Linked DNA regions of Macaca fascicularis. The protein of the gene in region 3 purifies or fractionates together with the protein of the main gene of each other region. This does not show direct contact. Links are inferred from orthologs where the notes say so. Each region holds a gene or a part of one and is shown on either strand. Other genes may lie near its edges. The genes, in order: POLR3C, POLR1E, POLR1C, POLR3E, POLR1F, POLR3H and POLR3G.

What was found.
Region 1: the proteins of POLR1C (region 3) and POLR3C purify together in Homo sapiens (affinity purification with mass spectrometry; 5 studies listed by BioGRID and IntAct, counting the BioPlex papers as one, with this or other methods). This does not show direct contact. The link is inferred for Macaca fascicularis from reciprocal best matches to the Homo sapiens genes POLR1C and POLR3C.
Region 2: the proteins of POLR1C (region 3) and POLR1E purify together in Homo sapiens (affinity purification with mass spectrometry; 5 studies listed by BioGRID and IntAct, counting the BioPlex papers as one, with this or other methods). This does not show direct contact. The link is inferred for Macaca fascicularis from reciprocal best matches to the Homo sapiens genes POLR1C and POLR1E.
Region 4: the proteins of POLR1C (region 3) and POLR3E purify together in Homo sapiens (affinity purification with mass spectrometry; 5 studies listed by BioGRID and IntAct, counting the BioPlex papers as one, with this or other methods). This does not show direct contact. The link is inferred for Macaca fascicularis from reciprocal best matches to the Homo sapiens genes POLR1C and POLR3E.
Region 5: the proteins of POLR1C (region 3) and POLR1F purify together in Homo sapiens (affinity purification with mass spectrometry; 3 studies listed by BioGRID and IntAct, counting the BioPlex papers as one, with this or other methods). This does not show direct contact. The link is inferred for Macaca fascicularis from reciprocal best matches to the Homo sapiens genes POLR1C and POLR1F.
Region 6: the proteins of POLR1C (region 3) and POLR3H purify together in Homo sapiens (affinity purification with mass spectrometry; 5 studies listed by BioGRID and IntAct, counting the BioPlex papers as one, with this or other methods). This does not show direct contact. The link is inferred for Macaca fascicularis from reciprocal best matches to the Homo sapiens genes POLR1C and POLR3H.
Region 7: the proteins of POLR1C (region 3) and POLR3G purify together in Homo sapiens (affinity purification with mass spectrometry; 4 studies listed by BioGRID and IntAct, counting the BioPlex papers as one, with this or other methods). This does not show direct contact. The link is inferred for Macaca fascicularis from reciprocal best matches to the Homo sapiens genes POLR1C and POLR3G.

What each region holds. Positions count from the first base shown.
Region 1 is NC_088375.1:113,589,753-113,593,986, reverse strand, and holds the start of POLR3C (DNA-directed RNA polymerase III subunit RPC3), read left to right. Parts: upstream 1-1,434; 5' UTR 1,435-1,731; coding exon 1,732-1,816; exon of another isoform or gene 1,817-2,196; intron 2,197-2,976; coding exon 2,977-3,143; intron 3,144-3,990; coding exon 3,991-4,234. Other genes in the region: E3 ubiquitin-protein ligase RNF115, read right to left, coding at 1,015-1,116. UniProt on the Homo sapiens protein: DNA-dependent RNA polymerase catalyzes the transcription of DNA into RNA using the four ribonucleoside triphosphates as substrates.
Region 2 is NC_088389.1:61,826,433-61,829,932, reverse strand, and holds part of POLR1E (DNA-directed RNA polymerase I subunit RPA49), read left to right. Parts: intron 1-266; coding exon 267-400; intron 401-2,969; coding exon 2,970-3,051; intron 3,052-3,500. UniProt on the Homo sapiens protein: Component of RNA polymerase I (Pol I), a DNA-dependent RNA polymerase which synthesizes ribosomal RNA precursors using the four ribonucleoside triphosphates as substrates.
Region 3 is NC_088378.1:128,000,112-128,003,611, reverse strand, and holds part of POLR1C (DNA-directed RNA polymerases I and III subunit RPAC1), read left to right. Parts: intron 1-303; coding exon 304-423; intron 424-512; coding exon 513-665; intron 666-862; coding exon 863-1,012; intron 1,013-1,169; coding exon 1,170-1,286; intron 1,287-1,424; coding exon of another isoform or gene 1,425-1,543; exon of another isoform or gene 1,544-1,760; intron 1,761-2,582; exon of another isoform or gene 2,583-3,500. UniProt on the Homo sapiens protein: DNA-dependent RNA polymerase catalyzes the transcription of DNA into RNA using the four ribonucleoside triphosphates as substrates.
Region 4 is NC_088394.1:21,283,828-21,287,942, forward strand, and holds the start of POLR3E (DNA-directed RNA polymerase III subunit RPC5), read left to right. Parts: upstream 1-1,315; 5' UTR 1,316-1,433; intron 1,434-2,782; 5' UTR 2,783-2,878; intron 2,879-4,115. UniProt on the Homo sapiens protein: DNA-dependent RNA polymerase catalyzes the transcription of DNA into RNA using the four ribonucleoside triphosphates as substrates.
Region 5 is NC_088377.1:110,491,711-110,495,210, reverse strand, and holds part of POLR1F (DNA-directed RNA polymerase I subunit RPA43), read right to left. Parts: intron 1,315-3,500; coding exon 1,173-1,314; intron 1-1,172. UniProt on the Homo sapiens protein: Component of RNA polymerase I (Pol I), a DNA-dependent RNA polymerase which synthesizes ribosomal RNA precursors using the four ribonucleoside triphosphates as substrates.
Region 6 is NC_088384.1:10,065,842-10,069,979, forward strand, and holds the start of POLR3H (DNA-directed RNA polymerase III subunit RPC8), read left to right. Parts: upstream 1-1,338; 5' UTR 1,339-1,387; exon of another isoform or gene 1,388-1,675; 5' UTR 1,676-1,695; coding exon 1,696-1,806; intron 1,807-4,138.
Region 7 is NC_088380.1:94,475,898-94,480,129, reverse strand, and holds the start of POLR3G (DNA-directed RNA polymerase III subunit RPC7), read right to left. Parts: upstream 2,801-4,232; 5' UTR 2,673-2,800; intron 2,325-2,672; coding exon of another isoform or gene 1,871-2,324; exon of another isoform or gene 1,775-1,870; intron 1,668-1,774; exon of another isoform or gene 1,144-1,667; intron 652-1,143; exon of another isoform or gene 602-651; intron 1-601. Other genes in the region: acyl-coenzyme A thioesterase MBLAC2, read left to right, coding at 1,871-2,324. UniProt on the Homo sapiens protein: DNA-dependent RNA polymerase catalyzes the transcription of DNA into RNA using the four ribonucleoside triphosphates as substrates.

The DNA.
Region 1 (4,234 bases), on a different chromosome or scaffold from region 3:
TTGTTTTTTGTAGAGAGGAGTCTCACTGTGTTGCCCAGGCTGGTCTCAAACTCCTGGCCTCAAGCAATCCTCCTGCCTCGTCCTCCCAAAGTACTGGGATTACAGACCTGAGCCACCGCGCCTGACCTACAAAAGTGCTTTTTTCACAACCACAGCACTGCCTCTCAAGCAGCTAACAGTCTGGCAGAAACTCGTGAAAACCAATTTCATGTCGGAGGTAGCAACCCCAACATTCTACCCCGGCTCTTTTTCTTAAGTGAAGAAAGGGACAGGGCGGGGGGCGGAACAATGGTATTAAAGACACTAGCAACATGACAACCAAAATAAACGAAGTTGAAACAGTACGTCCTGCCTTCTTCCTAAAGCCATTTCCTTCAATAGTGATAGGAGTGCAGGCTGTCTGCAAGTCATTAGTACGCTGCTATTTTCACTTTCACAAGGACCCTGGAAACCTCTGAAGAGCAAAATCCTCCTTTTCGCCTCACAGATACCATCCAACCCCCTTTCTGTGCTTCCTTCCTTCCCCAGAGAAAACCGAATAGGGACAATCCTCAGCAATCCGCTATTTTGCTTCACTGACAAGGGAGGTGGCGGGGGCGGGGGGAGTGAAAAGTGGAAAAGAACGTAGAGGAAGGTGAGAAGACACAGCGGAAGGAGTATGGGGGGAGGTCATCGTGGGGAAAAGACCAGGTATAAAAGAATGCAAGAAAATTGAGGGGAGAGTTATCAGAGGGAAACTTGCTAAGAAAAAAATAATAATAATAAGGACAGGAGAGGTAAAGAGGTGAGATCAGGTGAAGCAGCCCACGATGAATTAAGAGGTGGGCAGGAGGTACGGGGCCGGAGCCGTGACGCCCAGGGTCTAGGGCCAGTGGCTGGAAAAGTGGGCAGCAGGTATTCGGCAGACCGATGTCCTGGGAGTCAAGGGTGTGCGGAAAGCTCCAAACCCAGTTCCGGGACATCAGAGCCAGGAATCTATGAGGTTCCCAAGTACAGAGAACACGGGGCTCTTACCGGTAGTTTGGGGCTGACCTCGCCCTTGCAAAAGTGGCAGAAAAACCGGTGGGCGGCTACAGCGGCGCCCGAGTCCGCCCCGGCCGCCGAAGCCTCCGCCATTTTTGTCCTCCGCCGCGGCCGTCCGAGAAGGCAGCCGGCCCGTCCCTCGCCAGGCCGCTACCTCCCGGGCTGCAGTAGCCACCGCCGCCTCGGCGCGGCCCACCGCTTCAGAGCCCGCGTCGGTCACGTGAGTCGGCCAGACCCAGAGAGGCGGCGGCGCCAACAGCAACCCTGCGGCCCGCCTCCCAGCACCAAATAGGCGCAGGAAGGAGAGGCAAACCTCCCGCCCGCCGGCTCCACAAACAGCCCCTCGCTGGTCCTCCAGCCTTCCAGCGAGAAGAAAGAAAGAGCGTCCCCGGAAGCCGCCGAAACTCTAGCGTAGAGCGGCACGCGCTTTTTGCCTTTCCGCGTCCTCTTCGGTGGCCGTCCTCTTCCTTGAAAGGGCGGTGGGCTCCACTTCCGCTCAGAAGGCCAGCGGGAGCCGCAGGAAGCCGTTGCGGGAAGTTCAGCAGCTTTGGGGTTGGTGCCTCTGAACTGCGCTGATCCTGAGGTTAGTGGAAAATGCTGTCTGAACGTGGCAGCACTGACTGGACCAAGAGACCAAATCCGGAATGGGAACCTGTGTAAAGGGAGTGTAGAGCTAGGAGCCAAGCGTCTTGTAAGTCCTTTCCGAGGATGGCAAGGGATCTGGAAATGCTTCTCCAAAGATACGCGGATGGACGAAATAGGTCTCTGGTGATACTAAGGCTTCTTACGAATTGTAAGAAATAAGTAATGTTTGGTAGCAATTTGTAATAAGGAAGTAATCGTATAATAAACTACGTCCGTTTCTGATTGTGTCAACTTTGTCAAGGAGTAGAAGTTTAAGAATTGAATGCTGTCCTGCAAACAACGTAACCTCATCTCCTATTTGACACGCCCTGTTGAGAAGCAGTCCTTTACCGCCTAAATTTCTTTTTCGAAATTATCATTTCCTTTATGAACTAAGAATAACACTGCCTGCTCACTTCCACCGGGCTGTGAACAGTGACCTTAATTCTTCCAAGCAATGAAGTGTAGAAACTAAGGTCTGTGACAGACTGCAAAATCATCTACTCCCAATCTTTAAAGAAAATCAGAATCATGCATAATCCCATAGAGGTATATTTGATGCACAGTCTTTTTCTATGCATACATTTTTCCTTTTTTTACAATAATTGAATCTTTATATTTTTTCAGCTTCTGTCACTTAATATATTATGAATAATTTTCCTCTTTTTGCTTTTTTTTTGTTTTTTTTTTTTTTTTTGGAGACAGAGTCTCGCACTGTTGCCCGGGTTGGAGTGCAGTGGCGCGATCTCAGCTCACTGCAACCTCCGTCTCCTCACTTCAAGCGATTCTCCTGCCTCAGCCTCCCAAGTAGCTGGGATTACAGGCGCCCGCCACCACGCCAAGCTAAATTTTTTTTGTATTTTTAGTATAGAAGGGGTTCACTATGTTGGCCAGGCTGTTCTCAAACTCCTGACCTTGTGATACGCCCACCTCGGCCTCCCAAAGTGCTGGGATTGCAGGCATGAGCCACAGCGCCAGCCTATTATGAATAATTTTCTTCTACACGAATACACATGGTACTAAATAACTTTGTTGGCATAGTATGCCATTGTATGGGTATGCCATCATTTATTGTTAGACGTCAGATTGCTTCCAGTAAGTCTGTATTATAGAGAGAACTAATGACTTCATTATTATTAGCTTTTTATTCTTTCCTTGGATACAATATCCAAAAAGAAATTGTTGTTTCAAACATATGCAAGATTTTTAAGGCTTTTTGATATGTATTGTCAAATTGCCCTCCAGAAAGAATACATGAATTTACACTCAGCAGCTCTGCTTCCAGCATGAAAGACTTTCCATTGTACCGTTTTGGTGTTTTTTCCCTAGCTCTCAGACTCCCCAGTACCATGACTCAAGCAGAAATTAAGCTCTGTTCTTTGTTGCTGCAAGAGCATTTTGGAGAGATTGTAGAAAAAATTGGAGTCCATCTGATAAGAACCGGCAGCCAGCCACTAAGAGTAATTGCTCATGACACAGGAACATCACTGGATCAGGTATGTCTAAATGACATTAATTTTCTGTCATTTCACTAATTTATCTCACCCATCTTTGAATATTGTTCTTCTCACCCCAGAAAGGGAAAAATGAAGAAAACCTGCCCTGGGAGCAGAACAATGTTATTTGGGGAAGAAAAGGATGGGACTTAGGCATCAACATTTTGTTTCTCAAAGTGTTCCTAGTTCATGACAGCTTTTAGGCAAATCTTTGCTCTTCCCATGCCATACCTCATTTATTCACAATAGGTCTTTTAATCTCAGTACTGCCTTTAAGGAATGAGAATGATGAAAGTAAATTGTGTTTTGAAAGATAAGGATCAGGCCGGGCGCGGTGGCTCAAGCCTGTAATCCCAGCACTTTGGGAGGCCGAGACGGGCGGATCACAAGGTCAGGAGATCGAGACCATCCTGGCTAACACGGCGATACCCCGTCTCTACAAAAAAAAAAAAAAACACAAAAAATTAGCCGGGCGAGGTGGCGGCGCCTGTGGTCCCAGCTACTTGGGAGGCTGAGGCAGGAGAATGGCGTAAACCCGGGAGGCGGAGCTTGCAGTGAGCTGAGATCCGGCCACTGCACTCCAGCCTGGGCGACAGAGCGAGACTCCGTCTCAAAAAAAAAAAAAAAAAAAAAAAGAAAGATAAGGATCAGAGTAAATATAGCAAGGAATCTTCCTGATTTATTGTATTGATGTCTGATTCTTATTAGCTACTCCAATGGAGAGAAAATAAGTGCAGAAATTATCTAGCCATTTTCTGATGCTTAGTAAGTTGTTGGACAAAAAATTTCCAGCAGTAATGAGCTATATCTTCAGGTCTTTCCTCTCTTCTCTTTATGTCCCATCTAGGTGAAAAAAGCCCTGTGTGTCCTCATCCAACATAACCTGGTGAGTTATCAAGTGCACAAACGTGGTGTGGTGGAGTATGAAGCCCAGTGCAGCCGGGTATTGCGAATGCTTAGATATCCCCGGTACATCTATACTACCAAAACTCTGTACAGTGACACTGGAGAACTGATCGTTGAGGAGCTTCTGTTGAATGGCAAACTGACAATGTCAGCTGTTGTGAAGAAAGTGGCAGACCGGCTCACAG
Region 2 (3,500 bases), on a different chromosome or scaffold from region 3:
GCAGACAGCTCACTGGAGCCTTGACCTCCTGGGCTCAGGTGATCCTCCTGCCTCAGGCTCCTGAGTAGCTGGGACCACAGGAGTGTGCCACCATGCTGGTTAAGTTTTTGTAGAGATGGGGTCTTGCCTTGTTGCCCAGGCTTTCATTAGCTGTTGAGTGTGTCAGGGGTGAGAGGCGCCTGCTGCTCTTGTTGTGAGAGGGAAATAGTTCCTGACAGAGCCCATCTTACCCTGACACAAGCCTCTCTTTCTTTTCCTTGTTTTAGCCATTGCACCTTTGTGATAGAAGCGTTGAAGTCTTTGCCATCAGACGTGGAGAGCCGAGACCGCCAGGCCCGATGCATATGGTTTCTGGATACCCTCATCAAATTTCGAGCTCAGAGGGTAGTTAAGCGGAAAAGTAAGTCTATGGTAAACATTTAATTCTAATTGTTTCCAGTCTGTTATTTGTCTATAATTCTTAGATCAGTTCTAATGAGAGAAGAAAATCAGTGTGTCTGTCCAAGTCTTTATTGTCAACTGTGAGATTCCTGCTGGTACTGCTGACATGTCGAGGGGACTTGCCAGGCCCCTTTTTCTCTCTGGATCTCCCTTTTCTCATCTGAAAATTGGGGCCACGTTGGATTATATGAGAGTTCAGGGTCCTTCCAGAGCTAACATTTGCTACTTCTATTCTGCATTAGGCAAGGTAGAATATCCAGGTCAAATAAAATGAAAATTTTAAGGGACTGTTAGAACAAACATCAGCCGTGTGTGTGTGTGTGTGTGTGTGTGTGTGTGTGTGTGTGTGTGTGTGTGTGTGTGGAGAGAGCGCTTATGAGTTACACATATGTATCTTGAAAGCTTGTGGCAGGTTTGTGTTGTGTCAGCTTATTTCTAACAGGAGAGCGTCAATCTGATGGTAACCCAGTGTCACCTGTAGCCAGGACGCTTTGTGGGTCACACCCTCATACCTACCCAGAGTTGGAAACCCAGGAGATGTCTGTGGTTTTAGGCACAAGGCATATTTAGTTGTTACTGTGATTGGGCATCCAATAGTCTATACTCCTGTTTTTCAGTATAGTCATGTGTCACTTAATGATGGGGATATGTTCTGAGAAATGTATCCTTAGGCAATTTTGTCATTGTACAAACATCACAGAGTATATTTGCATAAACCTAGATGGTATAGCCTACTACACACCTAGGCTATATGCTATAAGCTGCTGTTCCTAGGCTGCAAACCTATACAGCATGTTACTATGCTGAATATTATAGGCAATTGTAACACAATGGCATTTGTGTATCTAAATGTATCTAAACAGAAAAGGAATAGTAAAACTATGATATTATAATCTTTTGGGACCGGCTGGGCATGTTGGCTCATGCCTATATCTCAGCACTTTGAGAGGCCAAGGTGAGAGGATCACTTCAGGGCAGGAGTTTGAGACCAGCCTGGGCAACATACCAAGACACTGTCTCTACAAAAAAATAAAAATATTAGCTGGGGTGATGCACGCCTGTACTCCCAGCTATTTGGGAGGCTGAGGCAGGAGGAGTGTTTGAGCCTAGGAGTTCAAGGTTACAGTGAGCTATGAATGCACCACTGCCTCAGTGACAGCAAGACCCTGTGTCAAACAAAATCTTACAGGACCATTGTCACATATGTGGCCTGTCATTCACCAAAAGAACGTAATGTGGGACATGACTGTATTTGCTTAGTCATGCTTTTTTTTTTTTTGAGACAGGATCTCGCTCTGTCACCCAGGCTGGGGTGCAGACCTATGATCTTGACTCAGTACAACCTCCATCTCCTGGGTTCAAGCAGTTCTGCCTCAGCCTCCTGAGTAGCTGGGATTACAGGCGGGCGTCACCATGCCCAGCTAATTTTTGTGTTTTTAGTAGAGACGGGGTTTTTCCATGTTGGCCAGGCTGGTCTTGAACTCCTGACCTCAGGTGATCCACCCTCCTTGGGCTCCCACAGTGCTGGCTGGGATTACAGGTGTGAGCTACCGCACTCAGCTTGTATTTGCTTAGTTCTTTTTTTTTTTTAGATGGCGTCTCGCTCTGTCACCCAGGCTGGAATACAGTGGCTCGATCTTGGCTCCCTGCATCCTCCACCTCCTGGGTTCAAGGGATTCTCCTGCCTCAGCCTCCCAAGTAGCTGGGGTTATAGGTGCCCGCCACCACACCTGGCTAATTTTTGTGTTTTTAGTAGAGACAGGGTTTCACCATGTTGGTCAGGCTGGTCTTGAACTCCTAACCTCATGATCTGCCCGCCTTGGCCTCCCAAAGTGCTGGGATTACAGGCGTGAGCCACCATGCCCAGCCAGTTTTTTTTTGTTTTGTTTCGTTTTGTTTTGTTTTGAGATGGAGTCTCACTTTATCGCCCAGGCTAGAGTGCAGTGGCGCAATCTCGTCTCACTGCAACCTCTGCCTCCCAGGTTCAAGCTGTTGTTCTGCCTCAGCCTCCTGAGTAGCTGGGATTACACCATACTCAGCTAATTTTTGTATTTTTAGTGGAGGTGGGGTTTCACTGTGTTGGCCAGGCTGGTCTTGAACTCCTGACCTCAGGTGTTCTGCCTGCCTCGGTCTCCCAAAGTGTTGGGATTACAGGTGTGAGCCACTGCATCTGGTCACTTAGTTCTTATTTTCACATTCCAATTCCAGCTTTCCCTGTCTCTCCCTGAGCTTTCAGCACAATTTTTGTTTTCTAAGGTCATGTTAAATCTACGTCCTTAGGCCTCCGGCTGTGTTTTCTTGTCACTGCCCCATCACCAGCATCTCTTGTGCAGGGCAAGCTGCAGGCTGAAGCACACCAAGCATGTTTTCATTTCGATGTGGCCGTTCTGCTTTGTGGGCCCTGCTTCTCTTACCACCTGGTTCTGGTCATTACAGTGGCCCAGCTCCTGGCTTTTCTCTCAACTCATGGTGGAGGTGTGGCCTGAGGGTTTTGAGAGAAAATGATCAAACTCAACTTTGTGTTGTAGGTGCCCTGGGACCTGGAGTTCCCCACATCATCAACACCAAACTGCTGAAGCACTTTACCTGCTTGACGTACAACAATGGCAGGTCAGGGGGTGGTTTCTGGGATTTTTCCTGTGCAGGAGAAAGTGGGTGAGGGTTGGGAGTGAGCAGCAGGGGCTTGGACTCAATTCCACGTCCACAGAGATGCAGTGCTGAAGAGACTGCTGCCATTTGGAAGGCTCCTGGGGCCCCAGTAAGTTTAGCAAACGCTAAATATGACATACTCTGTCCTTTTTGGAAAAGTATTACTTTTGGGGAATCTTAGAAGCTCTGGGAAGTCCTCCAATAAAGACTTGTTTTACTTCACATACTTTTGAAGAGCCCTTCCTGATGTCCCACAGAGCTGGTGTTTGCGGAAAGGCAGTGTTGCAGAAAAGGGCAGCCCAACTCGGTGACTCAGGAAAGACCCGCAAGCGTTGCCCCGGGCTTCCTTCCTGCCATTTGCCTGGAGTATGTTTTCTGCTCTAGAGTGTGCTTGGAAGAATCAGCACAGC
Region 3 (3,500 bases):
GCCCAGGCTGGAGTGCAGTGGCCGGATCTCAGCTCACTGCAAGCTCTGCCTCCCGGGTTTTTACGCCATTCTCCTGCCTCAGCCTCCCGAGTAGCCGGGACTACAGGCGCCCGCCACCTCGCCCGGCTAGTTTTTGTATTTTTTAGTAGAGACGGGGTTTCACGGTGTTAGCCAGGATGGTCTCGAACTCCTGACCTCGTGATCTGCCCGTCTCGGCCTCCCAAAGTGCTGGGATTACAGGCTTGAGCCACCGCGCCCGGCCAGATGTTTACTAGTTCTTAAGAGCTCCCTCCATTTGTGCAGGAGATGAAGACGGCACAGAGATAGATACCCTACGGTTTCGTCTCCAAGTCAGATGCACTCGGAACCCCCATGCTGCTAAAGATTCCTCTGACCCCAACGAACTGTATGTGAACCACAAAGGTAAGTAGTGGTAGGGTGAGGAAGAGGCCCCACCTGTGGGTGGCTGCTAGTTTTAGGAACTGAAATCTTTTGACATGTTTTTCCTCCAGTGTATACCAGGCATATGACATGGATCCCCCTGGGGAATCAGGCTGATCTTTTCCCAGAGGGCACTATCCGACCAGTGCACGATGACATCCTCATTGCTCAGCTGCGGCCTGGCCAAGAAATTGACCTGCTTATGCACTGTGTCAAGGGCATTGGTGAGAACCCTGTGTTCCTTCCTGGGAAGAGGGGTAGTTTGGTTGCAGTGGGGCAAGCTGACTAGGGAACTCAGCTGAGATATTCCTAGCAGGTAGAAAGCCAAGAGCATCGTGCTTTTGCTGTTAGCAGCTTAGGAAGAGTATTCTTCCTAATCCTAGAAGGGTTTCGTATAGGCACTTTCTCTCTTCCTCTCCAGGCAAAGATCATGCCAAGTTTTCACCAGTGGCAACAGCCAGTTATAGGCTCCTGCCAGACATCACCCTGCTTGAGCCCGTGGAAGGGGAGGCAGCTGAGGAGTTGAGCAGGTGCTTCTCACCTGGTGTTATTGAGGTGCAGGAAGTCCAAGGTATGGTATTTGGGGTGCTGTTCAGGTTAGGACCTAAATTATATTTTCTTTGAAGGTGACAGAAATAAAAACCCTGGGTTCCTAAAAGTATAACATGGTTTGCTACCAAGGGGCAAATTAGAAAAAAGAATAAAAAAACGTGGTTTGTTCTCATTAGGTAAAAAGGTGGCCAGAGTTGCCAACCCCCGGCTGGATACCTTCAGCAGAGAAATCTTCCGGCATGAGAAGCTAAAGAAGGTTGTGAGGCTTGCCCGGGTTCGAGATCATTATATCTGTGAGTATGAAGTGGTGAGATGAGTGGGCAGTACTCTTTGGTGCTGCAGCTTCCTTCCAGTCTAGATGTGAAGTTTGAGTAACAGGGGCTTTCTACAGGCAAGCCCCGCCTAGGCTAAAGTGTCTCTTTGATCCCCAGTCTCTGTTGAGTCAACGGGGGTGTTGCCACCAGATGTGCTGGTGAGTGAAGCCATCAAAGTACTGATGGGGAAGTGCCGGCGCTTCTTGGATGAACTAGATGCGGTTCAGATGGACTGAGCTTGGATGTTCCTGAGGCAAGCTGAAGCTTTGGGTTCTGACTGACCCACCCTACAGGACTGCTGTACAGAGAGCCCAGTGTGACTAGGGATCCTGAGTTTTCTGGGACAATTCCAGCTTTATTTTTAATCAATACATTTTGTTAAATGTGCCATAAAATGAGACTTTTAGGCCTTTGTAAGGCCTTAGATGTAAATAAACTCATGTCCAAACAAAACTTTTTGAGACAACTTTTATATTTTTTGAGACAGAGTCTCACTCTGTTGCCCAGGCTGGAGTGCAATGGTGCAATCTCTGCTCACTGCAACCTCCTCCTCCTGGGTTCAAGCAATTCTCTTGCCTCAGCCTCCTGAGTAGCTGGGACTACAGGTGTGTACCACCACGCCTGGCTATGTGTAATTTTTTGTATTTTTAGTAGAGAGAGGGTTTCACCATATTGGTCAGACTGGTCTCAAACTCCTGACCTCAAGTGATCTGTCTGCCTTGGGGCCTCCCAAAGTGTTGGGATTACAGGTGTGAGCCACTGCGAAAAACAGGGCCTCACTTCAGAACTGGTTTGACCTTTAGCAATTAAGAACATCAGATGTACACTCCAGCCTGGGTAACAGTGAGACCCTGTCTCAAAAACAACAAAAAACACCTCCTGAGAATTGGCAAATTAAGGTGGTTTCTGGGAGTACAGCCAAACCCCTAGAAAAACATTCAAGCTAGAGTGAATGCACCATTTCACCTGTCTCCCGGATTACCAGGGAAGTTCATGCCGCTATTGACAGCTCCAACAAAGAACAGTAGCAATTCCTTTGGGCCAGGCCCAGCAGCCACATATGAAAGACACTGTGAGAATGGTATGGGCTGCCTAGTCTGGGTGTGTCAGGATAGAAATCCTTTTCTAACTGGCACACCATTTCAGAAAGCTTGAAAGACCAGGTTCATCAGTCACATTTCTTCCTGTTCAGTCCCCTTTTGCAGGGTGCTCATGGAGTAACTCTGGAGTATGTCACTGGTTTTAAGACTAGGTTGAAAAAGGCAGATGGGTCCCTTTCTGTATGAAACTGAGACTTTTACTGACATGCAGATGTGCTTTGGAGTTAATGTTTCTACAAAAAGTTTCTATAAACAATAGAAAACTTCTAGCATGAAGTCACAGGATGTTAAAAATATTACAACACAATAAATACAACTACACCCTCCACAGCCCCAACCATACAGGAATAGGCAGCTATCAGGTTTGGAGGGAAACACTATTGAGATCGCCTTCACAATCCACAGGAACCCAGAGCACCACACGGGAAGAGGGAGCAACATGAGACTCCAACTTCTGCTTCCTCAGCTTTGCCTCTTCCCAATCTGACCCTGCCTCTGGTCCACACCAGCTAAAAACTATAGCTTCAGTCCACTTCGGCTCTCATGGAAACCCTCTTGTCAGTGGATTGGTGGACAACAGGTCTGTTTTTGTGCAGAGCACATGGACACACTGGTTTCTGTATGGATTAAGTCTGCCTTTATGGCCAGTAATAATGTCAGGGCCAGGTCCCATATCCGAGTCCTGTTTATAGGGCCTTTCAGTGACCTCTAGAATGGACTCACAGTACAGGTTGTGATGCGAAGGCATGTATTCTTTTCTTTTGGAGATGGTCTTTGAGAAAAGTAACCAGGGACCTGAAAGACCATGAGATTGCGGAAGGCACCTGGTCTTAGTCCTAGAAGACCAGTGGCTTTGCTAGCTGCTTATCACAGATATAGCCTAGTTGGTCTGTTTTATCCTTGGATGACAATGGTGTCATGTGACACTCTCTAGGGTACTGTGGCTCTTGTGCCTGAGTGGACCTTGAGGCTGGGGAAGCCAAACTGAGGGGTCATTCATGGAAGGGCAAGATGTGTGAGCTCTAAAGGGGATGTTAGCACTAAAGACTGCCCAGCCCTGGTCCTTGGAGGTACTATACTTGACACTGTGCCA
Region 4 (4,115 bases), on a different chromosome or scaffold from region 3:
TTTTTTCTTTGTAATTTTTGTACATTTTTGTACAAAAGATATATAGTGTTTTAGTCCATTTTCTGTTGCTTATAACAGAATACCTGAAACTGGGTAATCTGTAAAGAAAAGGAAGTTACTTATTACAGTTATGGAGGCTGATAAGTCCAAGCGCAAGAGTGTGCATCTGACGAGGGCCTTCTTGCTGGTGGGGTACCCCTGCAGAGTCCTCAGGCAGTACAAGCCATGATATGGAGGAGGTGCTGAGCTGTTCACTTGCTGGCTCAGGTCTAGCACTTATAAAGCTCCCACTTATAAAGCCATCAGTCCCCCTCCCAAGATAACCTATTAATCCATTAACCCATGAATCCATGAATAGATTAATCCACTCATGAGGGCTCCACCCTCATGATCTAATCACCTCTTAAAGGGCCCACCACACAATACTGCCACATTGGGGATTAAATTTCCAACACATGAAATTTGGGGGACACATTCAAACCATAGTACATATTAAACTGATAATAATGGTTACTTAACCTCTGCGGAGGGGCCTAGGATGCGAGTCAAGAGTCAAAGAGCATTTGTACCTTATCTGCAAAGTTTAAATATTTTACAATAATTCGTGTGTTATTTGTGTAAGTAAAAATTTAAACACATAATTTCTCAGAGACAACTGCCCAGACCAGCCCCCGGGTTTGGCCGTCAGATCCCCTAGGGCGTGTTTCTGATCAGATCGATTTCTTCTCCCGGAGACACGCAATCCGGGTCGTATGGATTACTTGTGAGTTAACCAGGGGTCTCCAGGGTAACCATCCATCTCAGAGTACAGTTTCTAAAAATGAGTTTTGCTCTAATACCTATTCGGAACAAACCTGGGTCTAAAAACTGGAGCAAGTGTTTATTTTCCAGCACACGGCTTTTTAAAATAATTCTATAGGGATCAGCTTGAACACACATTAAACAAAAAAACCTCAGCGAAAACGCCTCGCGATTTCCAGATGAAATGCGAATGCAAAAGCATTAAGTAGCGTTCTGGCAAACCCTTTCTCCAGCTGGGTAGCGTGGCCGAGCGGTCTAAGGCGCTGGATTAAGGCTCCAGTCTCTTCGGGGGCGTGGGTTCGAATCCCACCGCTGCCAGGGTTGGTTTCTTTTTGTTCCCCGCTGCATACACGCCCGGCTGTTTTGCGCGTGCCATCAGCGCCCCCTGCTGCAGGGCGGGGCTCACGGCCTGCATGAATGGCGCGGCGGAGGGGGCGGAGCCGTGTGCGCCGGGGCGGGGCATTGTGGGTAAGAGGAAGCGCTGGGGCCGGCCCGCTCCCCCCACGTGTCCGCCGGAGTTTCTCCACCAGCAACATGGCCGCCGCCTGAGAGGAGAGCCGGGCCGCCGCCGCATCTGCAGCCCGCGGGTAACTGGGCGGTTGCCGCCGTCCGCGCTCGGCCCCCGCGGAGAGGTGAGTCCCATCTTGGCAGCGCCCGAGCTGGGGCTTGAGCCGGACCGCACTCATGACGTGGGTCTGGGCTAGATTCCCGAGTAGGCCAAGGAGGCCCGCGCCGCGCCGTGCTGAGGGGCTGGGGGCCTCTCGGGACTCGGGCGGGAGGAGGGGCAGCCGGCTCCAGGCCGACCCCGGACTCCTACTTCCCCGACCCGACACCTGGGAGTTGGGGAGGCCGCGGCCGACGCTGCCGGCGGTGACTCAGGGTCCTGCCGACCTGCCCCACCCGGGCCTGGGGGGCATCCTACGGAAGGAACACCTGTCCTCGGCGTCGGGTGTGGTGGCGGCTCGCGGCAGGGACTGCGTGGTGGGCGTGAGAAGGGGTCCTGACCACCCGCGAGGGAGCAGAAACCCATTGGACAGCGAGGCTCGGGGTCGGCGGCCCGCCCCGATGGGCAGGGAGGGCACCTGCGCCTGCCGGAGCCCCCTCTTCGCAGCTGAACCGGATTAGCTTCTGCCTGGCGAGGCCTGGGATTCCTCGTTCATTTATTCAGGCAACCATTCAGTGTTTACTGAGCCAACTCTGTGCTCCGGATACGGCCCTGACCATTCGGTCCGAGGAGGTGTCAGTAAACAAACAAGGTCGTTCCTTTGGGTTAGCTTTAGAATTCCTTGGGCTTGGAGGCGGAAAGAAGAGATCTTAGCGATCTCAACAGTTCCTCATCTGTGAAATGGGGATAATAGAAATTCCTACCTCATAGGGTTGTGGTGATGGCTCATTAGAAACCAGGTGACGCTCCCGCTTGCAGCGTTTTTACCCGCCTACATTGGCAGAAAACATGTTGTCAAGTAATAACGAACCTTCCCATAGGTTACGTTTATTACCGTCTTTACTCCTCCCCGCAGCTGTTTGTAGGTCGGTACTTAGTTTCCCTACTTTAGGGATGAAAATAGGGAAGAATACCAGACGTAGACAACTCAAGTAGGTCACAGATGCGAAGCAGCTGCGGTGGGATTTGAACCCGCGTAGTTTTGCTCCGGAGTTCAGGCTCTTACCCACTTAACCATACTGCCTTTTATCGAAGATCTGTGCAGTATACTGGTTAAGAATAAGAATAAGGATCTTTGACATCAACGAGACCCTAGTTTCTGTCCTGATTCCACCTCGGATGAGTTACTTCTCTCTCAACCTCAGTCTCCTCATTTCCAAATTGAAGATGATAAATCTCTATTAATAGGGCTAATGAGAAGATTAAATATAAAGTATTCTTTGTACTATATTGAGTGTCAACTTCGTGCCAGGCACTGTTCTAGGTATTGAGAGATCTAGCAGTGGATATATATTTTTTTTAATCTTCATTTCATAGTTGAGGAAACTGAAGCACTGAGAAGCCTTCATGGAGCTTACATTCTATTGCAGAAGACAACACCTGAGCAAATAGACCAGGTAGTTCCAGATTAAGGTGAGACCCATTAAGGAAAGAAAATAGAGATGTGGTAGTGCCTGGGAGGAAGTTGGGGGAGGCTTTTAAAATAGGGTGGCCAGGGAACCTATCCTCTCCTGCAGGCGGTGATGATACTTAATAAAAAGGAGCAACCTTGGAAATCCCTGTGGGGGAATAGATGATGTGCAAAGGACCTTGGGTGGACTGGGGCTTGGCTTGGTGGAGGCCCAGCAAGTGGCTACCAGCCTGGATGGTCAGGGGAAGTCAGAGACAAGATCATGTAGGGCCTTAGGCGGCTCATGGAAAGGAGTTTGGGTTTTGTTTTATGTGACAGTGACAGTTGACAGGTTTTAGGCAGGGAAATAATGATTTACATTTTTTTTTTTTTTAAGATGAAGTCTTGCTGTGTTACCCAGTCTCGAGTGCAGTGGCAAGATCTCAGCTCACTGCAACCTCTGCCTCCTGGGTTCAAACGATTCTTCTGCCTCAGCCTCCCAAGTAGCTGGGATTACAGGTGTGCATCACCACACCTGGCTGATTTTTGTATTTTTAGTGGAGACGGGGTTTCACCTTATTGGCCAGGCTGTTCTGGAACTCCTGACCTCAGGTGATCTGCCTGCCTCAGTTTCCTAAAGTGCTGGGATTACAGGCGTGAGCCAGCGTGCCTGGCCCCGCCCCGAATAGAGATAGAGTCTCACCCTGTGACTCAGGATGGAACACAGTGGTGTGATCATAGCTCACTGCAGCCTCAAACTCCTGGATTCAACCAGTCCTGCTGCCTCAACTTCCCAAGTCATTGGGACTGCAGGCCACGCTGGGCTAATTTTTTTTTTTTTTTTTTTTTAAAGAGAGACCGGGGGTCGGGGGGGGGTCTCACTATGTTGCTCAGGCTGGTCTTGAACTCCTGGTCTCAGGCAGTCCTTCCACCTAAGCCTCCCAAAGTGTTGGGATTACTGGCATGAGCCACCACGCCAGCCTTTCCAAGGACTCACTGTTGCTGGGAGACTTTGAGGCAGGTAGCCATAGGGAGACATGGATGAGTTCTTTTCACATTGCAGATTGAGATTTATTAGTGGGAAGTAAAATTGATTTAGTGGAATTGAAGCTAGCATTTTTTGTTTTGAATGAATGAAGTAGAAAACATCACTGCCTGACATATAGTAGAGACAGAGTTATATGAAACTTTGTTTCAGTTACGCAACTGTGTGTATGTTCTGGGTTATTTATATGAGATGAATTTCATGTTGTTTTTTTT
Region 5 (3,500 bases), on a different chromosome or scaffold from region 3:
TATTTTTGGAGACAGGGTCTCACTGTTGCCTAGGCTGGAATGCACTGGCACAATCATAGCTCACTGCAGCCTTGAACCCCTGGGCTCAAGTGATCCTCCTACCCCAGCCTCCTAAGTAACTGGGACTACAGATCCATGCCACCATGCCTGGCTAATGTTTTATTTTGTGTAGAGATGAGGTCTCACTATATTGCCCAGGTTGGTCTTGAACTCCTGGCCTCATGTGATCCTCCTGCTTTAGCTTCCCCAAATGCTGTGATGGTAGGTGAGCCACTGTACCTGGCCTACATGTTTATATTTAAAATAATAATTTACACAAAGTAGATGAAAGTTAAGTTTCTTAATTTCCAAATACACATCTACTGCCAACTTCAGTAGTCCAGTTATAAGATTCCAGTTTAACAGGCAAAGGATACTATTTGTATTAATTCGATATTGATAAATGAAAAAAATTGGAAGTGCCTTCTGGGTTTTGTCATGGTTAAATTGATCTATATTTTTATGAACAATATCAAGGGTTAGTTAACAGTTCTGATCTATTAGATTAAAATATTTATCAGCTGAAGAAAAGAGCATATACACCCACATATGAGTATACATATGAACATGTGTATACACAGAGAACTGCTGGAGGAAGACAGGAGAAAGTAAAGAGTAAAAAAGGATCTATTTCAGTAGATTTCATATCAATATCTGCATTTCCAGCTTATGAAAAACTGGAAGACCTTTCCCACAGAGATTCCATTTCCAAGGCACAGACTGGCTGCCCTGTCATCTGTCATTCACACATTTTCATTACTGCCTAGCCCATTTGAATTCCTGTTTTATATACTGCTATATATTCTTTGAAACCTTTGTAAAGAAATGGTATTTGTGTAGAATTGAGAACTTTTGAAATAATGATAATTGATTTTTTCCCCTTAAAATCATTCTGTGACTATGAAAATAATAAAGTGAATGGGACATATATTCTGTGCATGCATGTGTTTTAGGAGGATATTAAAAAACTTACCTAGGTTTGGATGATACAAATTATTTTTTCCATAAAAATATTTATTTACTCACAATAGCAATTTATTTGAGTCCCAAGGTATATATTACCTTTTAAAATGTTCCAAGTTACATAATTATAGAATTGTACAAAGGGAGCTAGAAAAAAGGGATACACATACCATAAGCTTTTGCCCCGGTTCAGGGCAGAAAATAACAAAATCAGCTTCAATGTTAAGATGAATGTGTCCTTGATCATCATAAATATCTCCAAGTTCTCCCACAACTTTGATGTTATCATATGCAATAGGGACACCTAAAAGGCTGTAAAAAGAAAAAGTTGAAAATGATATATTTTATCCTCTTTTACTTATTTATTTTTTTGGAGACAGGGTCTTACTCTGTCACCCAGGATAGGGTGCAGTGACATGAACAGGGCTCACTGCAGCCTGGACCTCCTGGGCTCAAGTGATCCTACTGCCTCAGCCTCCCAAAGTGCTGAGATTATAGGTGTGCACCACTGCACTCTTTTAAACCAGGCCATTTTCATACTGATTAGATATTCTAAGAGTCCAAAGCCTACACATCTAAATACACCACGCATGTCAAAAACAATAGTATATGATTAGTCTGTAACAACTTTAGTAGTCCTGTTTCACCAATGGATTCTGATGTGTTGGCTAAGTTAAAATGATGATTTAAGATACACAGAAACAAAATATGCATTAATGCATGAGCAGTAAATCAACTCTTCTTCCCTTGCCAACTCCCATTCTTTCTGTTCTAGCATGACTATTTGAATTCTTCAAGTTACACTAGGATAGAAAGAAAGGACTTAGCAAAGAAAACGTGTATCTCTGTGAGCATGACTGAACAAGAGGCAATTTTGGTATTATTCACCATTACTGAATTTCAGTACTTGACAGCATATAGCAAGGGAAGCATTACAGTTAAAGGTGAAGCCCCTGAATTTTATTTTATTTTATTTTATTTTATTTTTTTTTTTTTTGAGACGGAGTCTCGCTATGTCTCCCAGGCTGGAGTGCAGTGGCGCGATCTCAGCTCACTGCAAGCTCCGCCCCCTGGGTTCACGCCATTCTCCCGACTCAGCCTCCCAAGTAGCTGGGACTACAGGCGCCCGCTACCACGCCCGGCTAATTTTTTGTATTTTTAGTAGAGACGGGGTTTCACCGTGTTAGCCAGGATAGTCTCGATCTCCTGACCTCGTGATACACCCGCCTCGGCCTCCCAAAGTGCTGGGATTACAGGCTTGAGCCACCGCACCCGGCCGCCCCTGAATTTTATTTTATTTTATTTTATTTTTAATTTATTTATTATTATTATACTTTAAGTTGTAGGGTACATGTGCATAACGTGCAGGTTTGTTACATATGTATACTTGTGCCATGTTGCTGTGCTGCACCCATCAACTCGTCATTTACATCAGGTATAACTCCCAATGCAATCCCTCCCCCCTACCCCCTCCCCATCATAGGCCCCGGTGTGTGATGTTCCCCTTCCTGAGTCCAAGTGATCTCATTGTTCAGTTCCCACCTATGAGTGAGAACACGCGGTGTTTGGTTTTCTGTTCTTGTGATAGTTTGCTAAGAATGATGGTTTCCAGCTGCATCCATGTCCCCACAAAGGACACAAACTCATCCTTTTTGATGGCTGCATAGTATTCCATGGTGTATATGTGCCACATTTTCTTAATCCAATCTGTCACTGATGGACATTTGGGTTGATTCCAAGTCTTTGCTATTGTGAATAGTGCCGCAATAAACATACGTGTGCATGTGTCTTTATAGCAGCATAATTTATAATCCTTTGGGTATATACCCAGTAATGGGATGGCTGGGTCATATGGTACATCTAGTTCTAGATCCTTGAGGAATCGCCATACTGTTTTCCATAATGGTTGAACTAGTTTACAATCCCACCAACAGTGTAAAAGTGTTCCTATTTCTCCACATCCTCTCCAGCACCTGTTGTTTCCTGACTTTTTAATGATCGCCATTCTAAGAGTGCATCTCCCCCGGCAAAGCAACGCCCCTGAATTTTAAAGTCAATGACTTAATGGAGAAAATCCCAAACTTAAACTGTTGCTAGTAAATGCAAATGTTAATACAACTACATTTAGGAACTGACTCTTGACACTTTAGTCTACAAATGTAACAGTCAGGATTAAGGGACAACTATTTTTCAAACTGTCATTTCTTAGTTCTTAAGGAATTATAGCTATTAAGGAGAAAGACCTAGTGGTGGGAGGCGGAGGGTGCAGTGAGCTCAGATCTCACCACTGCACTCCAACCTGAGCGACAGAGGGAGACTCCATCTCAAACAAAGGAACAAGAAACAACAAAACAAACACAACCTGGTGGCTTCATTACTTGTTGGAAAACACTTCCCTGACTCCCCTAGGCAAACCTGAAATCATTCCTCTACTCCTATAGGCCAGCTTTCTCACTGTTCTTAATCTAACTGTATTGAACCTATCTGTATATATGTTT
Region 6 (4,138 bases), on a different chromosome or scaffold from region 3:
CCTGAACCAAAGCAATAGTAGTGGGAGTGGAATAAAGAGGAAGCATTTGAGAGGAAGAATTAATGTTAATCTCCTGAACACCTTACTCAATGCTTCCTAGGAATGTGTTAGGGGATTGTGGGAATAAAGAGCTGAAGTAGCATTTGCTCCTGTCCTCAAGTACCTCAAATCCTATAGAAGCAGACCTAAAAATAAAAACATACATGCAGGGAAGGCCACATTTAGCATCACTGCAGCCAGTGTCACTGAGAGATCACTATGCTTGTGAAATCAGCAAATTAAGGCACCGTACATTTCCAAGTGCCTCTGTCATTTACCCCAAGGATCTTTTTTAAGTACCTAAATTGTTATTTTGGTTAAAACACACTACAGTATACATCTACACCTCACCAGTTTTTAAAGGCAGGGTAGTGAGGTTCAGACTGGGCCCATCTCTACCACTTGTCAACACATGATCTTGGGCAAGTTACCAAATTCTTTTAGCCCATGCTAACTATCACGTGAAGACGAATGAGACTGGAATGTTGGGGAAAGAGAGCATGATGGGGCTATAGGAGGGGGTATGATCAGATCCTGCAAGGCCATGTGAACTACCATAAAGGTTTTGGACTTTTCTTCTTTCTTTCTGCTTTTCTCTTTCTTCTTTCTCTTCTTTTCCTTCTCCTTCTTCTCTTTCGTTTAGAGATGGGGTGTCACTGTCACCCATGCCAGAGTGCAGTGGCATGATTGTAGATCACTGGACTACAGGTGTGCACCGCCACCCCTGGCTTGGATTTAGTATTCTAAGTTCAATGGGTTGTACTTTTTGTTCCAATTTATTATCACTTTTCAATTGGGATATAATGTCTACAAATTTGCCCTGAGTTCAATTAGTTCGGACACTTGTATACGTCAATATTATACCACCGAAAAGAAGATACAGAACATTTCCATCATCGCAGAAAAGTCCCAACTGTTCCTTTCCTGTCAATTCTCCTTGTCTCCGGAACACTTAAGGGTGCTAAGCATATTATGTTTGCGGTGGTTTTTTTTTTTTTTTTTAACTTAGAAGATGTGGTAATATATGTTTGCGTTCCCAAAGGATCACTCTGCTGCTGTGCGGAGGACAGCAAGGCGGGCAAAGCACAGGCCAGGCGAGGTATAATCAGGCAGTATTGCACGGAGGTCGCCTAGCAACCAGAAAGCGCCGTCGGGAGCTGGGAAAACGCTCTGCTCCTGTGAAAGGAGGAGGCCCCGCCCCCTCCCCGCCCTCTCTCCGCCCTACGCAGTGCGCGGGTACACGCTCTGTGCGCCTCGGACGGACAGAGGCTTCTTATTGGTGGGTTTTCCGGAAGCGATGGATTCGGAATCTCGCCCGCAGCCACGCAAAACCGAGCGGCTGTGTGCGGTGCGTGGTGCGCGGTACGTGCGGCGGCACGTGGCGCGGGTGCGGGGCGTGGCGTGGCGGGGTCGCGCGGCGCGGGCGCGCACCCGGAGCTCTGAACAGAGAGCGCCTCCTTCTGGCCTCGGTTTCCTCCCGTTGTAGTAGCGGAGCATGGCCCGGACCGGGCACCCGAGACCGCCCCGTGCAGCCTCACTGCCAGCCTGGGGGCCTCAGCGACCGCGACGGGACCAAGGGGCTCGGGGATCCTCCCCGCCCCCGGCCCTGGTGCTTGACTGACCCTCCCGTTCCCAGAGCCCCCAGCGCAGACCGGGATGTTTGTCCTGGTGGAGATGGTGGACACGGTGCGGATCCCCCCTTGGCAGTTTGAGAGGAAGCTCAACGACTCCATTGCCGAGGAGCTGAACAAGAAGTTGGCCAACAAGGTACTGGGCCCACGGCTCGCGGGCAGGCCTTGGCGCGGGAGAGCCAGCGCCGCCCACCGGCCGCAGGCCTGGCCTCCGTCATGCCAAGCCCTGGCCGTGGGCAAGCGGCTTAATGTCTCAGAACTTCTGTTCACCGTGAAACAGGATGTTGAAGGGGATCAAAAGAAAATGGGCTTAAAAAAGGGAGTTGTAACTGGAAGTGTCAGACTCTACAATTCTAAATTACTTTGCAATTGCAAGCAAGTTAACCCCTCTGGGCCTCAGTTTCCATTTGTAAAATGGGGATAAAATGTTGCTGTCCTTCCAGCCATGCATTGGTTTTTTGTTGTTTTTGTTTTGTTTCGTTTCGTTTTTTTTTTTTTTTCTTTCCCCGAGACGGAGTCTTGCTCTGTCGCCCAGGCTGGAGTGCAGTGGCGCAATCTCGGCTCACTGCAAATCTCCGCCTCCTGGGTTCAAGCAGTTCTCCTGCCTCAGCCTCCCGAGTAGCTAGGACGACTACAGGCACGCGCCTCCATGCCCAGCTAATTTTTGTATTTGTATTTGTATTTAGTTTTATTTTTATTATTTACTTATTTATTTGAGATGGAGTCTCGCTCTGTCGCCCAGGCTGGAGTGCAGTGGCGCGATCTCGGCTCACTGCAAGCTCTGCCTCATGGATTCACGCCATTCTCCTGCCTCAGCCTCCCAAGTAGCTGGGGCTACAGGGGCCCGCCACCACGCCCGGCTAATTTTTTTTGGATTTTTAGTAGAGACGGGGTTTCACCATGTTAGCCTGGTTGGTCTCGATCTCCTGACCTCGTGATCCGCCGCCTCGGCCTCCCAAAGTGCTGGGATTACAGGCGTGAGCCACCGTGCCCGGCCAATTTTTGTATTTTTAGTAGAGACGGGGTTTCTCCATGTGGCCAGGATGGTCTGGATCTCTTGATCTCCCCACCTTGGCCTCCCAAAGTGCTGGGATTACAAGCGTGAGCCACCGCTCTGGGCCAGTGCATTGTTTTTGTGAAGATGAACAGTTCTAGTAGTACAGAGTTAACGAACTGTCAGGAGGTTCATCCCTTCATTCTAGCAGCCAATATTTGTGCGCCATCTCTGCGCCGTGCCTATGTGCCTTAGTGCCAGCTGAGAGGTCCTCCCACTGCCATTTCTCTGGCAGTCCTCCCTTTCCAGGTATTCTGTGTCGCATCAGTCTCTCCATCTTAGACTTTTTCCTTTCCCTCTCTTTGAGAGCAGGGACTTATCTGTCTTCTTCCCTGAAGTATCCCCTCACTTAGCCAGAGCCTGGCACCAGTAGATGTTCCATAATTTTATGTTTGTTTGTTTGTTTGTTTGTTTGTTTGTTTTTTTGAGACAGAGTCTTGCTCTGTCGCCCAGGCTGGGGTGCAGTGGCCGGATCTCAGCTCACTGCAAGCTCCGCCTCCCGGGTTTAGACCATTCTCCTGCCTCAGCCTCCCGAGTAGCTGGGACTACAGGCGCCCGCCACCTCGCCCGGCTAGTTTTTTGTATTTTTTAGTAGAGACGGGGTTTCACCGTGTTAGCCAGGATGGTCTCGATCTCCTGACCTTGTGATCCGCCCGTCTCGGCCTCCCAAAGTGCTGGGATTACAGGCTTGAGCCACCGCGCCCGGCCTGTTTGTTTGTGTTTTAAACAGAGTCCCGCTCTTGTCGCCCAGGCTGGGGTGCAGTGGTGCAATCTTGGCTCACTGCAACCTCCACCTCCTGGGTTCAAGCTATTCTTCTGCCTCAGCCTCTTGAGTAGCTGGGATTACAGGTGCCTTCCACCACGCCCGGCTAACTTTTGTACTTTTAGTAGAGACAGGGTTTCGCCATGTTGGCCAGGCTGGTCTCAAACTCCTGACCTCAGGTGATCTGCCTGCCTCAGCCTCCCATAGTGCTGGGATTACAGGCGTGAGCCACTGCGCCCAGCCATTTGTCTGTTGAATGAAACAGAGGCAAGGCTCTGAGCTATAGTGTGCTGGGAAAAGCAGATATGAATGAGAGGGGTCCATAGTTGAGGGTGTGGTGACAAATTGAGGTAAATGCTATGAGGGACAGATGTTCACACACCTGTGGGAACAAAGGACCATCCCCTGGAATGAGGGAACCTGCGGCTTTGGTGAGGAGGTGGGGTTGGAACTGAGATCTGATGGTGAAGTAGAGCCAACCAGAGGATTCCTTTCTGGGGTGGGAGGGGAACTGGGTGGAGAGAAGAGCCCTGAAGGCAGGAACTGGCATGTGCACAGGCCCTGTGAAGAAGGAATACAGACAGGGCGTGGTGGCTCACACCTGTAATCCCAGCACTTTGAGAGGTTGAGGCTGGTGGATCACCCGAGGTC
Region 7 (4,232 bases), on a different chromosome or scaffold from region 3:
GCAAAAGAGCGTATACCTCTCCTTCCATGAAGGCTTATTAGTAGTTGTCACAGTAACGGTTTTCATAATTCTTTTGTAATGCTGTCTCATGAGTCTCCTTATCATTTTTCCTGGCTAAGTTGGGAGGTTAGTCAAGTTCTCAAGGGAATTTCTTAAGCCTAAATAGATGTTTCTGGCCGGGTACAGTGGCTCACGCCTGTAATCCCAGCACTTTGGGAGGCCGAGGCAGGCGGATCACTTGAGGTCAGGAGTTCAAGACCAGCCTGGTCAACATAGTGAAACCCCATTTCTACTAAAAATACAAAATTAGCCGGGTGCGGTGGCGGGCGCCTGTAATCTCAGCTCCTTGGGAGGCTGAGGCAGGAGAATCGCTTGAACCCAGGAGGCGGAGGTTGCAGTGAGACGAGATTGCGCCACTGCACTCCAGCCTGGGCAATAGAGACTCTGTCTCAAAAAAACAAAAAACAAAAAAAAAACCTAAATAGATGCTTCAATAGCTGGGAAGTGGGGAGTGGAGACAGTGACCTGATGTTAACAGAGCGGATGATTTAAGAGGCTGGCGGGGCCACACCCAGTCATTATTCACTTTTCCCGTCCTTACCAGGTGCTCCTTTTCTCTATTTGAGCCTTTCTACCAACTCGCGTTTCTCTCTTCCAAGGACAGACCAAATCAAAAAAAAAAAAAAAAGAGGGTGGATACAGAATTTTATTTTTTAGAAGAAAAGACAAACCATATTAACAACTTCCTTCCCTACGATATAAAATGCCAACAGTTACGAAAACAGATACTGAACAGTCGGTCCTTAGCTGCAATCTGCGGCAATGACTAGTGCCTCAACAAATCATAAAGTCACTGGATTTGGAAAATAACCTACTATCAGTAAGAGCATAAATACCCTTCTAACTCACTGCAAACAGTCCCAGGAGTGGAGACTGGGTAAGATCTGGAAATTCGACTTAAAAAAATTCTGAAGGGAGCAGGACAAGGAGGGGAGGTACCAAGCTATCTCCAAACACCCCTCAACCCAGAGGCGCTTTAATGAATCTCTACCCCCGACTTCCCCCACAACTTCTCCACATGCCCCTTTAACTCCCCTCTACCCTCACCACCCCTCCCAAGTCTTCGATTGCTTCCTCGGTTACCTGTTCCCTAAGTCTCGAAGCTTGGGCAAAACTCTGCAGCCGAAGCGCCGGCCGGCAAGTAAGGGGTGCTGGCAGAGAACACCGGCGCTCGAGTGCCGTTCGTTCCACCTCAGGAGAAACTCGCACCGCCCTCCACGCGGCCCCAGGACCGCGGCGTGAGCCCTACCAACTAGCCCCGCCCACTCCCTAGGCAGGCCCCACCCCCTCGGCAAAGAGCTTTTTTGCCCTTGGCAGGCTCCGTAGGCTCCGTACAACCTGCTAGGCCCCACACTTTCCGCGCCAGCTAGGAGTGCGCGCTGTGGGGAGCCAGTGGGTGGGCGGTCCTAGCGCTTCCCACCCTTGCTCCGGGCCTCTGCTGTCACACGCCCGGGGTGGCGAAAGGGTCACCACCTGAGTCTCCATTCTGCTGCAGTGGTCCCTGCGTTACAGCTCCCTCGTGGTGCGCCTGCCGAGGCTGCTGTAGCTCCTGCGCCCCCGTGCTGGTGGCGCAGTCTCTGCTTGCTGCCGACCTGGCGGGAGGGTACGAGAGCGCACGCTACTGGCAGCGTCGGTCTGCGTCCTTCCTCCTCCTATTCTGACTCCCGCATCCCCCGCCCCCGCCTCACTCAACGCCTCCTCCCTGGCTGCAGGCAGACGGCTCCACACAGCCGCAGCGCCCGGTGTTTACACAGCCTGTGGGAGACTCGCACGCCCACACTCACCCCGCCTGGCTGCATCCCTGCCCAGCATGTCGGCGCTCGAGTGGTACGCCCACAAGTCTCTAGGCGATGGTATTTTCTGGATTCAAGAACGCTTCTACGAGTCGGGCAACCGTGCCAACATCTGGCTGGTGCGCGGCTCCGAGCAGGACGTGGTGATCGATACAGGCCTGGGGCTGCGCAGCCTCCCTGAGTACCTGTACTCTTCCGGCCTCTTGCAGGACCGCGGGGCCAAAGAGGACGCGGCGCGCCGGCCGCTGCTTGCCGTGGCCACCCACGTGCACTTCGACCACTCCGGCGGCCTCTACCAGTTCGACCGGGTGGCCGTGCACCACGCCGAGGCCGAGGCGCTGGCTCGCGGGGACAACTTTGAGACCGTGACCTGGCTCTCCGATAGCGAGGTGGTGCGGGCGCCCAGCCCCGGCTGGAGGGCCAGACAGTTCCGGGTACAGGCGGTGCAGCCCACCCTCATCCTGCAGGATGGTAATGGGCCCCCGCGGGCGCGCGCTCTCGTTAAGGGAGGGTATTGGGAAGAGACTGTCCGAGTGCCGCATGTTGCAGACTTGCGTGGCCATAAAGGGGATTATTTTGGCACCTCGCGGAACCACTTCTGTTACACCCTTCCCTAAGTAAAAACCTACTTGACCAGAGCCAAAGCCATCACAGCCTTCCCTGCCAGAGGCCAGCTCTGGCACCGTATAGCAATTCTGAGTACTTCTTTGAAAGCCGGCACTACCCCTCCCTAGCCAGTTTCCTGAGTCGGCTGTAGTAGTAACACTACAGAGACTTGTGACTGACTAGGGATTTCTTATTCTTTCCCTAAGCACCTACCCGACATTTCCAGGAGCTTTCGTAGTGAGTAGACTTTTAAGGAATGACGCCCCACGGGGAGTGCATGTCATGATCTGTGCTTTTGAGAACTGCAGACTTCATCAGCTTGGTCACCACCGGGTATGGGCAGTTCCCACCTGTAGCCTTAGAAAGTCATCAGAGCAGCGATTCCAATCCGCTAATGCGATTGGAAACCTCTCAGATAGGTTTCTGTTCTTGATGTTGACTCACGATTGCAAAAGCTTAATAGTAATCATAAACGTAGAATAACTTTATGACAGGTATCTGGTCCGGCTGAAAGCAAAGCCTGAGAAAGATCAATAAGGAAGTAATTTTCGGTAGAGGTAAATTATGTGGACTAATGCATAGGTAGCCATGGTCCTCTTTGGCTCTGTGAAAGACAAATATGGAATTCAGAGAGAAATCCATGGGATGAAAATAAATAGATTAGGGCCTCAGCCCATTTCCCTACGCAAGGACTTAAATAATTGAGCTAATTTGCCACATCAGCAATATTTGGTATATTAGTTTTCTATTTTCTTTTTAGTATACTTTTGATTTCATTTTATCCTCACAACACATTTAAAGTGAGGCCACTGACCTCCCAGTTAAATGGCTTGCCTGAGACAGATCATGATAAAAGCTAGGATATGAATCTAGGCACAATAGATCAAGGCATGCAGAACGTACATAAATCCTACCTCATAAATATATGATGATAATTCTGAGTAGAATGTGAAAGGCCCCTTCTTTCCTTTAGTGTGAGACTATTTTAATTACCAATTTGGTTTATTAAAACATGCCTCTATATAGTAGAAAAAGCCAGTTGCTGCAGTATAGTGAAGCTCACTTTATGACCAAACAATATGGCAAATAATGAAATATTTTACAAAAATCAGTTTATCTCACAGATGACATCTTACTCATTTGAGATATTTTAAAAATTGCAGTATTATATTGTATTACTTATCGGTGCTAAAAAAAAAAAAATTGCAAGATTCTGTACCTCAACCCCACCCAACAAAAGTCTTCATTAAAGTTTTAAATCTAAAATTAAAAAAAAAAAAAAAACTGGTTTAGATGGGAGTCTTACATTATCTGACAATATGAGATGAAAGTACATGTACATTAAATTTTAATTTACATTAAAGTCACACCTAATTACTGTATTTCTTGACAAAAATGGGTACTTTTAGGGGTAAGATTTCCATGCAGTTGATGGGTATTCAGACTAAATTCTGACACCCGGACCAAAAATGTTTACATTAGTATTAAAATATACTTAAATTATTGAAAAGAATAAATTACTTTTGAAATTGACTTTTGATTCTGTATCAGCAATGGGAAATCAAAGGTGAAAGAATGATAGGGATTGTTTTATAGATGAAGAAAGAACCCATGTAGGCCTGAGTATCATGCAAGAGGTCACATCACCCATCTCGGAAAGAGCTGGGACTAGAACCCAGGTTTACCAGTTGATGGTAGAATCCTAACATTTTGGGAGCTGAAAGGGGCCTGCAAACTACTTGTGTGGTACTTTAAGCCTTTAAAAGGGTGAAA